Lepisosteus oculatus: one gene and its partner. The protein of the gene in region 1 interacts with the protein of each later gene in a biochemical or structural test. Links are inferred from orthologs where the notes say so. Each region holds a gene or a part of one and is shown in the gene's direction. Other genes may lie near its edges.

Region 1 (7,361 bases):
CCTCCACCACCACCAGTGTGCAGCCCCACCTGGATGATGCGACGGCAGCCATAGTGCGCCAGAACGCTCCCCACACCCCAGCTCTCAGTGGGGAGGAGAGCAGAGTGATGGAGCCAGTTCAGAGAGGGGGGTTATTAGGAGGCCATGATTGGTTAGGGCCAATGGGAAATTTGGCCAGGACACTGGGGTAACACCCCTACTCTTTTCGAGAAGCACCCTGGGATTGTTAATGACCACAGAAAGTCAGGACCTCGGTTTTACATCTCATCCGAAGGACGGCGCCTGTTTACAGTCTAGTGTCCCCGTCACTATACTGGGCATTAGGACCCACACAGACCGCAGGGTGAGCGCCCCCTGCTGGCCCCACTCACACCTCTTCCAGCAGCAGCCTCAGCTTTCCCAGGAGTCTCCCCTCCAGGTACTGACCAAGCTCACACCTGCTGAGCTCCAGTGGGTTGCCAGTTGTGAGCTGCAGGGTGATATGGCTGCTAACTTATCTTCATTGAAGCCATGAACCGGGGAGCTGGAGTCTATCCCAGCAAGCAGCGGGCACAAGGCAGGGTACACCCTGGACGGGACGCCAGTCCATCACAGGACACACGCTGACACACTCACTCACCCTGGGCAGGACGCCCGTCCATCACGGGGCACACACACACCGGGGCCAGTTTTCCCAGAAGCCCATTCACCTCCCAAGCATGTCTCTGGACTGTGGGAGGAAACCGGAGCACCTGGAGGACCCGGAGGAAACACTCACACACACGGGCCACCGCCACGACCCGGAGCGGATCCGACCGCTCCGCAATGGGAATCGGGCTGGCGGCTGGAGGGAAGGCTTCGAAGCTGGATGGACACAGGGGTGGGTGTATTTTGGACTAAAAAACAGGAGACGCACCTCCGCAAGAGTCTGTGGGGGGGGGGGTTCGGGGTTCTGGTGCTGACCCGAACAGACCCGGCCGGACGGAGGCAGCACCTCTGTTGTGGAGCTCTCTGGCCCTGGTCCCACAGGGCCCGGCTGCAGTCGGCCCCACAGGTCACCACTGTCCAGGGCTGGGGGAAACCTGGGCTTCATCGAGCTGCTCATCAAAGTCAATTGTTCAATTGAGAGAACGCCGGTCGTGGAGGCCAGGGGGTGAAACGACTTAATTTGACCAATCGCCGGCCTCTCCGAGCAGGAAGAGACTGATGCAAGTTTTGGAAAACTGATGACTTAATGATGACATATAGAGCCAGCTGGATCAGGGCCCCTGTTATACAGAAAACCCTGGAGCTGATAAAACCTGGCCTGGAGTGGACTGGAGCTGGAGCCTCTTTTACGTACAGGAGCCCCCTGCAGCTGGTAAAACCCGGAGTGGATCAAACTGGAGCTGGAACTCTGCCAGACAGGAACCCTGCATGTTGTTAAACCTGGTTGGGATCGCACTGGACCTGGAGCCCCTAACATACAGGAACCCTACCGTACAGCTGTAGAGCCCTGTGTTTTCCAGAACAGGTTGTGTTGGTGAGGGACTGTGCGCCTGTCGGAGCAGTGATTAAAGTGTCAGGCACTTGACTGATCTCTTGAGCAAGCGCCAAGAGTCCATAAAGCACATATATCAAATGAAAGATTTAAAACGTGCACCCCTCCGACTTTAAAAACAAACGTGCATTTATGTGATTGAACGTCTCTTTAATGTATTGACTACTTAAGAACTTCTAATGGAAATAAATGCTCTAACTGGGCCAGTGCGCTCATTAAAGAGAGGAGGGCAGCTATTCCTCCGAGCTGTGATTTGGTATCGCAGGCCAGCGCTGGGATATCTGCTGAGTATCTGAATCCGGGAGAAAGAGAGATTCCCCCATCTGACAGCGACATCTTGTGGTCATGAGGGGAAATTCAATTAAAAAGAAAAACATTAAATATAGAGCACTAAGTCTCTGTACAAGAGGAGGCCATCAGCTTCGCATAAACAAGCAAATCCTGTTCCCAGGACTGGACGCTGGACAGCCCTGCTCTGGACACGCTGACCCTCCAGGACTAGACTCTGGACAGCCCTGCTCTAGACCCACTGACCTTCCAGGACCGGGGCTGGACACCCCTGCTGCAGACACACTGACCCCCTCCTGGACCAGGACTGGACAGCCCTGCTCTAGACACACTGACCCTCCAGGACTAGGACTGGACAGCCCTGATCTAGACACACTGACCCTCCAGGACTAGGACTGGACAGCCCTGCTGCAGACACACTGACCCCTCCTGGACCAGGACTGGACAGCCCTGCTCTAGACACACTGACCCTCCAGGACTAGGACTGGACAGCCCTGATCTAGACACACTGACCCTCCAGGACTAGGACTGGACAGCCCTGCTGCAGACACACTGACCCCTCCTGGACCAGGACTGGACACCCCTGCTGCAGACACACTGACCCCTCCTGTTCCCAGGACTGGACAGTGGACAGCCCTGCTCTGGACACGCTGACCCCCCAGGACTGGACTCTGGACAGCCCTGCTCTAGACCCACTGACCCTCCAGGACCGGGGCTGGACACCCCTGCTACAGACACACTGACCCCTCCAGGACTAGAACTGGACAGCCCTGCTCTAGACACACTGACCCCTCCTGGACCAGGACTGGACAGCCCTGCTCTAGACACACTGACCCCTCCTGGACCAGGACTGGACACCCCTGCTGCAGACACACTGACCCCTCCAGGACCAGGACTGGACAGCCCTGTTGCAGACACACTGACCCCTCCTGGACCAGGACTGGACAGCCCTGCTCTAACTGGTCCTGTAGTTGTACCCCATGGTGAAAACAGAGTCGCACTGTTCTGAGGGAATGTCTGAGCTGATCTGACAGAGGCCCTGGATGTCTGTGTTCAGGAACCACAAAGGCTGCCCAGCTGCTGTGGGGTTTGTTAGAAAACATTTCCACATGAGAATAAATTTCCAGGTATAAACACTCATGAAGCCTGTGCACACTGTGCAGAATTACAACACTATTCGCTTTCTGAACACAGGAGAGCCGGACCCTATCCCAGCAAGCAACAGGCACAAGGCAGGGTACACCCCGGACAGGACACCAGTCCATTACAGGACACACACACACTCACACCAGGGCCAGTTTTCCCAGCAGCCAATCCACCCCCCCCAGCATGTCTGTGGACTGTGGGAGGAGACCAGAGCACCTGGAGCCATGTGAACGCGGGGAGAACATGCAGACTCCACCCAGACAGCAGAATTGAACCCAGGGCCCCAGCGCTCACCACTGCACCGCCCTGATTACAACACCCTAATTAGAGCACGTTCAGCAAGAGACTGATCCATCCGCGGTGCGACAGGGGGCGCTACCGGAGGTCATTGTTGCCTTCTGCCATCAGACTGTACAACGCCTCCACTGTGTGTCTGGGCAGAGGCAACATCGACAGTGACCTGTTTCTGGACTGAGCAGCAAACTGATACATCTGTTCTTTTTTCTTTCCCGTTACAACCGTTTTTTGTGCAATATATGCCAGGAACCCGTGTAATACATTGATATTTTTATCTATATTTACATCTATATTTATAGTCATATTCTACAATACGATTTTTATGTGTACTGTTCTGTTCTGGTTTGTTCCTTGTGTATTCTGGACTGTGAGTAACTCTCCTTGGTGCACTTCTCACTGTACTGACTGTATTGTGTTATTATTATTGTATCATTCGTTACACTGTGGCTGTGAGGTCTGCGTTAAGCTGCTGTTCCCTCCCGGGATCAATCACGTATCTATCTATCATACAGCATACATCATACAGTATATAGGACGAGAGTCAAATCAAAACAGAGCTCAACCCAATACGCTGCGATGACAGGTTTTCATGACAAGATATTTGGAAACAGGACAATACGAGGGCTGGGAGCGAAGTACAGGCTGGACACTGTCCTAAAGCCCTCCGAGAGCAATCTCTGCAGAGCCACCGGTTTTCTAGATCCACCAGCGGGTGGGAAACTGCGATTGACGCGCACCAAGTGATGCAATATTTGGTCCGCAACAACACCTAGGAGCAGAAAATCGTCAGGAAGGGCGCAGCTCGGGCTGCAGACCTTGTGTGTCAAATATCCGAGCACCGGGTGTTGCTCGTGCAAAGGCCGGGGGGCCGGGCTGGATTTCGGGGTGCGCGGCGCCACGCGCCACTACGGCCCCTCGGCGCTGGTAAACAAGGCACGCGGCCCCGGCCTCGACCCGCAACAGTGACGTCAGGGCGGCGCGGCGCGGCGATTGGCGGGGGCCGGGGGCGGGCGAGCGGATTGGCTGGGCGAAGCGAAACCTGCGCCTTCGCGGAAGGGCTGGGGAGCAGCCGGACCCGACCTACTTCTGTTGACGCCGGAGAGCCCAAACAACGATCGCCCAGCAAGCAGCCGCAGCCGGTCCGGGTAAGGAGAACAGTTCTGCGTCGTGACTGAATTCGGGAGTGCAGGCGCCCATGATGAGGATTGCAGGCTTTTTTTTAGTGCTTTTTTTGAAAAAGCAAACGAAAGTTCAGCTGCGTGTCTCCAGGTTCCCAGCCAGAAGGTTGCTTTCCAGACCGGGAAGCTGTTAGGTAGCAAAGCCAAAGAGAACCGAAGCGGGCGCCTTCTGGGGGTACAAACTCCCCCCCATCACACCCCAGGGGGGTGGCTGGGGTCTGAGGGCGAGACCCTGCAGCGACCGGGCTGGGCTCTGCTCGCTCCGGGGCGCCCGTCTTTCCCAGCTCCTCTCCGGGAAAACTTCCTTTCTACCCGGAAGTCTCGAGGCGGCGGGCCGAACGTCCAGGGCACGAGCGTGTGGGTCTGAGCCCCGTATGTCACCGTTCTCACTGTGCGGTTGTACAGCGTGACACCGTGTGCGTGGCAGTGCCTGACTGTCGGTAACCGTGCGTGTGTGTGTCGGTGACTATAGTGCACATCAACACCTGTGTGTGTGTATCGGTGACTATAGTGCACATCAAGATGTGTGTGTATCGGTGACTATAGTGCACATCAAGATGTGTGTGTATCGGTGACTATAGTGCACATCAAGATGTGTGTGTGTATCGGTGATTATAGGACTATAGTGCACATTAATAGCTGTGTGTGTATCAGTGACTATTGTGCACATCAAGACCAGTGTGTGTGTCAGTGACTATAGTGCACATCAACACCTGTATGTGTATCGGTGACTATAGTGCACATCAAGATGTGTGTGTGTATCGGTGATTATAGGACTATAGTGCACATTAATAGCTGTGTGTGTATCAGTGACTATAGTGCACATCAAGACCAGTGTGTGTGTCAGTGACTATAGTGCACATCAAGACCAGTGTGTGTGTCAGTGACTATAGTGCACATCAACACCTGTGTGTGTATTGGTGACTATAGTGCACATCAAGACCTGTGTATCAGTAACTATAGTGCAAAACAAGACCTGTGTATCAGTAACTATAGTGCAAAACAAGATCTGTGTATCAGTAACTATAGTGCACATCAATACCTGTGAGTGTATCGGTGACTATAGTGCACATCAACACCTGTGTGTGTGTCAGTGACTATAGTGCACATCGATACCTGTGTGTGTGTATCGGTGACTATAATGCACATTAATACCTGTGTGTGTATCGGTGACTATAATGCACATTAATACCTGTGTGTGTATCAGTGACTATAGTGCACATCAAGACCTGTGTATCAGTGACTATAGTGCAAAACAAGACCTGTGTATCAGTGACTATAGTGCAAAACAAGACCTGTGTATCAGTGACTATAGTGCAAAACAAGACCTGTGTATCAGTGACTATAGTGCAAAACAAGACCTGTGTATCAGTGACTATAGTGCAAAACAAGACCTGTGTATCAGTGACTATAGTGCAAAACAAGACCTGTGTATCAGTGACTATAGTGCAAAACAAGACCTGTGTATCAGTAACAATAGTGCAAAACAAGACCTGTGTATCAGTAACTATAGTGCAAAACAAGACCTGTGTATCAGTGACTATAGTGCACATCAACACCTGTGACTATAGTCGGGGAACTGACTTAAAACACCATTCAAATATGATCCCAGGGTCCACTTTAATTGAATGACGTAAAATGGCCGTGTTTTTACGCTCCTGTGGTGCACTGTAGAAACGGAAAGGCCGAAGAGCCCCCCGCACTCACCTGCGTGCCCTCTCTCGCCTCTGCAGATGTCGCCATGACGCCCGTGTTCAGCCTCTCGGACGATTCGGGCCTCTCGGATGACGTCGCCGAGCCCGCCCAATCGGAGACCGCGGCGGGGAGAGGGCCCCGCCAGGAGGCGGGGCTCGGGCCCGCGCTGGGCCACGCCCACAGCAGCCCGGGGATCCGGCCTCCCGGTGAGTTGCGGACGACCCCCCCGCCGGCTGGCTGCGTGAGAGCAGTGCTCCCCAAATTCCGGGGTCACCGGGGCGCGCCAGTGACAGTACCGCTCTCGCGGTGATGTGACTCTTCAGTGGGACAAGGTGGACAGCGCTGGGAATGAAAATCCTCAAGGGGAACTGCAGCGCTATTTTTGTATTTCGCGGCTAGAAAGAATCGGCATCATTGAGTGCGTTTCAGACCGCGATGACAGTAAAACGCGCACACACGGTAACTTCCAAATGACATCACAAAACACGGGACATTTCCAGGTCTGCGCAGCGCCATGTTCTGGGATTCAGAACGAGGCAGCGATACTTCCAGCCCTGTGACACTGTGTACAAGCAGGCTTGTGAGTCCAGCTCTTCTCATCCAGTAGAAATTCTGCCCTTGTTAACTCTGCCATCAGATCACGCTGGAGCATTTCTACTGGTGAAAAGTCTGCTGTACAACCTGTACTTACTCCTACATCACAGTACATTAGTCATCACAGGGACTAGTAAGCAGAAAGGGCAGGCTCACATCTCAGTCCATTGGTCACCACAGTGACTAGTGAGCAGGAAGGGCTGGTTCACAGCTCTGTACATTAGTCATCACAGTGACTAGTGAGCAGGAAGGGCTGGTTCACAGCTCTGTACATTAGTCATCACAGTGACTAGTGAGCAGGAATGGCTGGTTCACAGCTCTGTACATCAGTCATCACAGTGACTAGTGAGCAGGAAGGGCCGCTTCACGTCACAATTTGTGGGAACCTGATGCGAATCTGCAACAACATGCTGACTCGCAGTACTTTCGCAAAGTTCCCGATTTTGTGCACAATTCGAAATTTGATTTTTTTTTTGTTTGAAATGGGGACCTCAGCTCCCCTTTAACACCTTCCAGGCCCCAGACTCCAGCGTCCCTTGAATTGCACAAATCACTCGTTTACCTTCAGCGGTTAAATCTCCCAGGGGTTCCCTTTAGGAACAGGCGATTCAGGAGAGGGGTTCCCCCCCCAGCGATTCAGAGGC
Region 2 (7,504 bases), on another chromosome or scaffold:
AAGAGTTTTGTTCTCTTAACTTTAGACTATACTAACGGGGAAAGGAACGCAAATGCTATATAGTTATGCAGCTATATATGCAAATTATACATGATTACTGAGACGTTCTTGCCAAGTTAAATGAGGAGAACGCCAAATGAATCCAGATCCTTTAAATTTCCGCGCTGTACCCTAAGCAGTTCCATTATATGCAAGTCCACATTGGAAGATGTGATGAGAGACTGTGCAGTGAAATACATTTGTATTGGTAAAAAAAGAAGCCCCATGGCACCATCTTGCATATCAGATTAATCTGTCTGAAGGCCAAGGGCTATAGTGTAATTTTCCACTGTCAAAAGTTTAAACAAGGATCAGTTACCTGAAATAATGGAGACTCTGTCTTATGTTGTCTGTCTTGGTTAAGAGAAAAAATATTAATGAAGCAATTGGCGTTGGCCTCTTCTTCTTTAACTGTTTTCATGTATTGCTGATTTTTTTCTGATTATTGAAAAGTGTGTATGGCAGTAAAGGAACAGAAAGAAGCTTTTTTTAAAAAAAAAAAGGGTATTGACAATAAATTTTGAATTGGCCCGTCGACAGCCTTTCCTAAAGTGTGAAAATTCAAGCTTGCAATCTCCAACACGTCAGTGTCCAAGAATAATTGTGTGCTTGATTTGCTTTCAACAGACTGTAGCAAGGAACCGTGTGTGAGAATGTGACTTCTGAAACCAGGAAATCTGAGATGCGTTAGGTTAAGAAAAGTACTTTGTGTACCTCCACGTACATATGTTTAAACCTAGGACGGTTATGCTACAAGATACAACCACGAAAGGCCCTCCACTGTGATTTCTCTCCTCAGTAACGGTAGATTCATGATCAGAACTGACTTGCCACATAAGCACATACATAATGTAAAACAAAAAAATCTTTCCAGGTAATACAAATCTGACGTTTTCTTGTTGGTTGCTATATTTTGTAAGCAGTTTCAGGACCACAGTCCCAGGCCTGAGCTTGCTCTTCAGGAATCGACCTCGTGTGGTAGCAGGTATTGTGCTGGACTGTTAAAGAGGCCCAAGGGAAGGAGCAAACATTATCGATTCTGGGCTCTCCTCGGCGCAGCCTCATCACTGTGTAGGGTAACACTATCCTGGAGTTAACTTCTGATCGATGCACACGCGCAGCTGTTTTTGTTAGCCATGGTTGTTTTCGTTTCAAATTAAATTGGGTAACCTGTTATTAAGAAGAAGGCGAGCGGGTATTTTGGTGAGGACAGACGGTCACGCTGTCATTTATTGAGGGATGAGCTGGCGAGGATGTGGGGGGCGGGCGTGGAGGGGGGGGTGCGTGTGCGGTTTCCAGTCTAATGAAGGACATGAATCCGAAACGACAAAACAAGCAAAAAAAAAAACCAAGCCATTAAATATGCAGAATCTCTCTCATGGCAACAAAACTGAACTGCTGAGTCAGTGTTTTAACGCTTGGCACCCGAAATGTTGGGATTTTAATGTTTTTTTTTTTCCTTTATTCGAAGACGGGGGGGGGGGGACACGCAGTACTGTGTGAGGATTTCTGTGTTGCCAAACAAAATGGTCCAAGTTTGTGGTCATGTGATAAACCTTTTAAATCACTAGAAGTGCTTCCCTTTTTAAGTAAGGTGTTGAATGAAAATGTACTGCTGATGTTACTGTGCTGGGGTGCTGAATGCAGCTCATCTGCAGTGTGATGCTAATCATTTGGTCACAATTACCTGTCCGTTTTCTGTTTCAGCATGCTGTAGCTGTGTGGCTCTTCTCAACTGTCACTTCCAGAGTAATGTTTCTTGTAACAGGGGACCTAATTTATATGACTATTGCCTATATTGTGTTGAAAGTGTGAAAATGATCTAACCTGGCCAAAGCCCCCCTCTTAAGACTATGAAATAAGGGGGAACCCCCAAGCTGGGGTATGACACAGGGGGAAAGACATTTTGAAATTCTGGCTAACTTTTGGCTTTGCGTCCAGTAGATAATGCTCTGTCAGAAAGCAGTGTTCACTAGATCAGGCTGAAAGCAGATCTGTCTTTCTTGTCTTGAAGTTGTAGAATTACAAATGTATATACCGTGGACACATCTTGGGAGTCTGGGGAAGATGAGGGGTTAAAATGGCATAGAAAATCACAACCTTAATGAAAGGCCATTCCAAAACACCCTTTGTCCCCTTCTCCCGAACTGTTGAATTTCAACATGCGATGTCACAGTGGAGACCGCAATCAATTTAACATTCAGCATGCTTCAGATTCATGCAAAGGGTCATTTGACTGTTTGAAAAAAATGGGAATTTTATAATATCATTCAGGTGTATAACCGATAGAAAAAAAAGGTCTTCTCTCTGTAATTATGTGAGTGCAGTACTGTATAAACTGCAACTGTTGAACTGCTCATGGACGTGAATTTCTTGGGTTCTTGGAATTAAACAGACTGACGAGCCAGTCATTTCTGCCTGTCAGCCCAGATCTTTCATTTGCTTGCTTTAGGAAATGAGTCAAGATTACATTGTGAGCCCCAGTCATTCTTAGGTATGAATTTGAGAAAGTCAAAGCAAGCATGGTTTGTGTGGAGTACTACAGTACATAGCAGAAGTTCTAGATAAATTTCTGCTTGGACAGGGTTAAAGTTTTCCATGGAGTGTGTTGGGACTGTTAAAGGCTGGGTGTAGACTGATTTCAGTGCTGAATAGATGAAGTGTTATTCTTCCTCTGTGTAATGCTCTCTGTCAGAGTGTATATATCATGATCTATTACCAGGAGCAGGGGACAGTGCAAGTAGATGGAGAAGCATTCCTACAGTGAGCCTTTTATCTTACTTCCCAGATACAGTCCGAGTAGACTCTTTTACAGCCAAACTGTGCTGTCAGGCTTGAAAATGAATTACACCCGCTGTATGTGGTGCCATCAGCATATTGTTGTGTCCATGAAGAAGCCGACTCATCAGTCTGGATGATCATTAAATCTACATTGCTTGATGATGTATTTAGCGCCATTCTGTGTTGAATCCAAAAGTGCACGAGCAATATAAATGATTATCACGTTATATAGTTTATTCTGAAAGCCTCCTCATAGAACGTATTTATCTTTTCTTAACAATTCTCAGCGCTCTAGGCTGTCTGTGACGAAAGTATCGGTGAATTAATAGCAACTTAGTGCGTGCGTTTTAGTTTTGTTCTGGTGTTTGCCCCCGTTCCAGGGCAAGTTGTCGAGGGTGCAGTCAAAGCGAATTTGTCCTTTTTCAGCTTCGGCGCGAAGCCTGGGTGGCTGAGAGCGCTCTGTCTTTTGAGGGCCGTTCTGCAGCTTCCATATGGAAGTGAGTCCCCCCACCCTCTCGTCTCTGTGGATTTGAAACAGCAGGTGAATGGTGTGCGCCACAAAGCTTTTTTTGGGGGGCTGGAACCATTTAAATGCAAATTGTCCTTGCCTCCCTCCCCCCCAGCGCCATCTGCCGTTCCCCAGGCCCGGTGTGTGTGGCTCCCGTTGGGACGCGTGGGCCGGCACCTCGAGGGTTTGAATGAATGCGCCCCGAGCTCCTCCTGCAGCAAAAGAACACAGACTGCACCCCAGCTTTAATTCTCCGCAGGCCTGGGCCTGGGGTAATGGTTAATTGATGAATGGGTGAATTTCAGCAAATCGCCTGTCAGGTGAGGAGATGCGGAATTAACGCGCAGCAGGTCTGCGATCGGGCAAGCTTTCCTTCTCCGGAAGATACAGCCACACTGTGCTTGCCTGCGTGTTGAGCAGCAGCAGAGCTGTCACGGGGGATGAGTTTGTTGTGACCTGTTTTTTTTGTTTTTTGGAGAACCTACCAACTGTTACAAATGAGAGGAGGCCATTTGACCCATCTACCGTGTGGGGTATTCAGGAGTTCGAGGATCTAAGGATTTGTCTTTTCTGTCGTTTAGTATTTGAAATCCCATTTGCCACCAGTGAATGGTTGAAGGCTGTGTTCTTGGAAGCGCTGGACATGGTAGCTTGTGTTTAAACATTGACATCAGCCAGTGATACTTTTGTCTCTTTAGGTTTTTGTCTGGACCTCAGGACCAAGTTTAATTCCGTCAAGTTTAACCCTGAGTGTCTCAAGCCACTTTATTGCCGTTTTGACAGTTTTTGATTTGGGTTAATTTCTGGTTTATTTTGAGTTCTTTTCCTTTTAATGAATTATAGTATGAGTTATGTTTTCAGAAATGTATTCTAGGGGATGGTGTAGCGCAGGGCTAATGAGCTCAACTCTTGGAAGCTCAGAATCTTCTAGTTTTTGTTCTGTGCTAAGTAGTCAAATAAACAATTGATTAAATTATTGTTTTAGACCCAGGGTTTTTTTTAAGGTACTGTATTTTACAGTTCATAGCTTACTTTAGAGGAATCCACTCTCTAAATACCTGAAGACACTAGGCCTAACAGGAATTTTATATGAGATCCGTGTTGATAAGTATTGCTCATAGTCTATTCCTAAAATTTCTTTATAGGTATCCTCTGGGTTTTAGTCATTGGTTTTTTTTTTATCCAGGGTTTCCTGGTACAGTAAGTTCATTGACGTTTGTGGCTGAATGCGACTTGTGCCTGACTCAGATGCTTTACCTGTAAAATGACCTTCACACTGACGTCCCAAAGATATAGTGTTTCTAAAATGCTAATAAGGTGGTTTTTGTGTTCGTGCATACTTCTTTCCTTGGTGTTTGTAACAAACTGCACACTGCAGACAAAATAAACGCTGTAGTGTTCTGTCTTTGGGGATCTGCTTGAAGATGTAGGATGGCACATTTCAATACAGTGCAGGTCGTTTCAGCCTAATATATGCTAAAATATACATTTGAAGTTGCATTTTTTCCGCCAGAGGGGGCTTCATTAGCATGCATAAAATGGTAAGTTGTGTTTTTTTTTTGCTGACTCTGTGGGGCAAAGCCCTCTTTATTGACGTTTAAAGAACAAACAGTTTTATTGAACAAACTGTAAGTTAGATGAATGGAGGAAAGATGTTTTCCGCATGTCTTCTGTTCTTTAGAGTGTCTTTTAAGCTTCCAGCTTGCACTTAATGAGTTGACTGGCCCTTGGACTGTAGAAATGTTACAAAAAGTAGCTGAGTATCTACCCCTGCAGCACAGCACCATCCTGAAATGAGAAATGGAGCTTTGTTCTTTGTCCAGTATTATTATTATGTGTAATAATTGTGTACACCTGCAAGCCTAGTGGACACAATATTGCTGCTTTCTTTCCTAGATTTATATTTCAGTCTGTATCAATCCCAGTTGTCAGAACTTGTCAGTATTTGGTGTTTTTATATATGGTATTGGCTATTATTGTCTATCACTAGGAGTTTTCTGAGACTGTCCTTACGATTCTGTAATTGTTTTTTTTAGTATGTGGAGTAAACATCTTAATGAGATGGGCTGTTAATAATCTACCCATTATTATTTATAGTGACAGTCATTTACAGTGATTAATTGAACAGCTGGCAGAATTTGTATTCCTTCATAGTTGTCCTAAAACATTTCTTAAAATGTCAAGGCTTTCAGCGCAGTCATATGCTTACTGCCACGAGATGAGGATTGATTAATTGATGGTGTATTGATTTAATGCAGGTAAAAATGTCCCAGCCGTGGTTGGTGGTAGGCAGTGTTATTTAACCTGAACAATGCTGCAGCTTGCTCTTACTGGTTCAGCGACTCTCAGTAAGGGAGTTCAGAAGCCTTTGGCAAGTGTGTCTTGTTTGACTGAGGTAACTGAGACCTTTTGATGTTTGGGGATGATGAAGGCAGATGTTTTGGGGATATTTAAGCACGCTGTGCTCAGCAATAGTATTCAACTGGTTGAAACCTAAAATACAGATTTACCTCAAATACAGTAGTTGTTCTGTACTGTGATTATGGTTTGATGGATGTTTATTTTGTTTGCTCTACCTCTCCTTCTTTGTGAGATGGCTCTTCCTTCGCCTCCAGGTGAAGAACAACACACAGTTGGGGATGAAGGTGGAATGTGTGTAGCTCGTCTTCTTCGGCTTATTTCTGTCTGGTTTTCCGATCGCGCTGCATCACGTTGGTGAGATGCAGATATTTCATCCAGCAGGGATGTGGTTAACCCCCAGCTCTGTCATCAGGGGGTCGCCGCTGTTGGCTCAGTTTAAGGAACTCGTTTCCTCGCTTTCCTGTTGTGTGACTGGCATTCAGACTTGTGGGCGATCGCAGTTGTTTAGTCCAGCTGGGAAGTGGTTAAACCATGGGAACTGAAGCTCCTCAAACTCTCACTGCTCTCTGTGCTGTTTCTGTCTGGTTTAGGAGTCGGTGTGACTGGAGGAGTCTTCACAGCCTAACAGTACGCAACCGAGGATAGCTCTGTCTTTTTTTAGCCTGTGTCGCTCGAGGTGCCAGGCGAGATCTCTCGACGCCCTGAGCACATTCTGTCAGCGCTGAATCGGCAGCTTAAGGAACGAGCTGTCATGGTTTCTGGAAATATGGTTTCATATGTACCCACATACACGTTTCATAAGCCGGTTGCAAGGAGTTCATATAAGGAAAAAGCCCCTAATTTTTCTTGTAATTTCTGTCCTACTGTTAGGACATGTTTATATTATACTTTCAGGCCTCGCTTGGGTTTATATGGTAGTGCAATAAAAGCCTTGCTGCTAGACGTTTCTGATGTGTGAGGAGCTGTAACAATGAACAAACGGAGAAACGATCTTAAGTGATTTACAGTAACAGTTAACAGTATAAGTTAAGGGGTTTCAGTTCAGGTTTTGTTTAAAAATAACTTAGGCACTTATAAGAGAAATGTGGGTTGTCACTTATTCATTCTAGATAAATATCTTATAAGATCACTTTATTGGCCATAAACAATTTCTTGTATTAGGAATTTGTCTTTTCGCATATCCCAGCTTGCTCTCCATGAGACACACAGACGAGGAGAGAGAAGCTTGAGGTCAGATTTATACGGCACCCCTGGAGTAGTTGGGGTTAAGGGCCTTGCTCAGGGGCCCAATGGAGTAGGATTCCTCTGCCAGCCGAGGGATTCAAACTGGCACCCTTCCAGCCACAGGCGCAGATCCTTAGCCACAGAGCCACCACACTGCCCCCTTATTCTTTCACTGCTACTGCTATAGAATATAGTCTGCTGTATTCTTTTTAAAGATGGACCTTTTTGATACATTACTCATCAGTGGAGAAGAGAGGGGATGACATAAGTGGTTGAAGCAAGATGACAGAAGCACTTCCCCTGACTGTACACATTTAATTTTTTTGCCCTCTGGGGAAAACAACCAAAGCCAGTACTCTTCCAAAGCTTTATCATGTAGATTTTTGCCTTTCTAGACGAAGTGACTCAGGCTAAATCACAACTTGCAGTAAATGCTTTAGCGAAGTGACTAACGGCACTCCTCTGTGGTACCAGCTGTGTGGATAGCATTGCAAGGTAATGTAATACAAGAATAGTCTGAAGTTTTAACTATTGCCACTCAGGCAGATGCTTGCAGATGCTAACTTTCCAGTGGGAATGTCCTTTTAATCC

What was found.
Region 2: of the proteins of bcl2-associated agonist of cell death-like (region 1) and pak1, one has a biochemical effect on the other in vitro, tested with the Homo sapiens proteins (3 studies listed by BioGRID). The link is inferred for Lepisosteus oculatus from reciprocal best matches to the Homo sapiens genes BAD and PAK1.

Annotation. Positions count from the first base shown.
Region 1 is NC_090713.1:21,769,128-21,776,488, reverse strand, and holds the start of bcl2-associated agonist of cell death-like, read left to right. Parts: upstream 1-4,263; 5' UTR 4,264-4,395; intron 4,396-6,161; 5' UTR 6,162-6,169; coding exon 6,170-6,329; intron 6,330-7,361. UniProt on the Homo sapiens protein: Promotes cell death. Successfully competes for the binding to Bcl-X(L), Bcl-2 and Bcl-W, thereby affecting the level of heterodimerization of these proteins with BAX. Can reverse the death repressor activity of Bcl-X(L), but not that of Bcl-2.
Region 2 is NC_090700.1:9,943,493-9,950,996, forward strand, and holds the start of pak1 (serine/threonine-protein kinase PAK 1), read left to right. Parts: upstream 1-4,467; 5' UTR 4,468-4,857; coding exon 4,858-4,869; intron 4,870-7,504. UniProt on the Homo sapiens protein: Protein kinase involved in intracellular signaling pathways downstream of integrins and receptor-type kinases that plays an important role in cytoskeleton dynamics, in cell adhesion, migration, proliferation, apoptosis, mitosis, and in vesicle-mediated transport processes.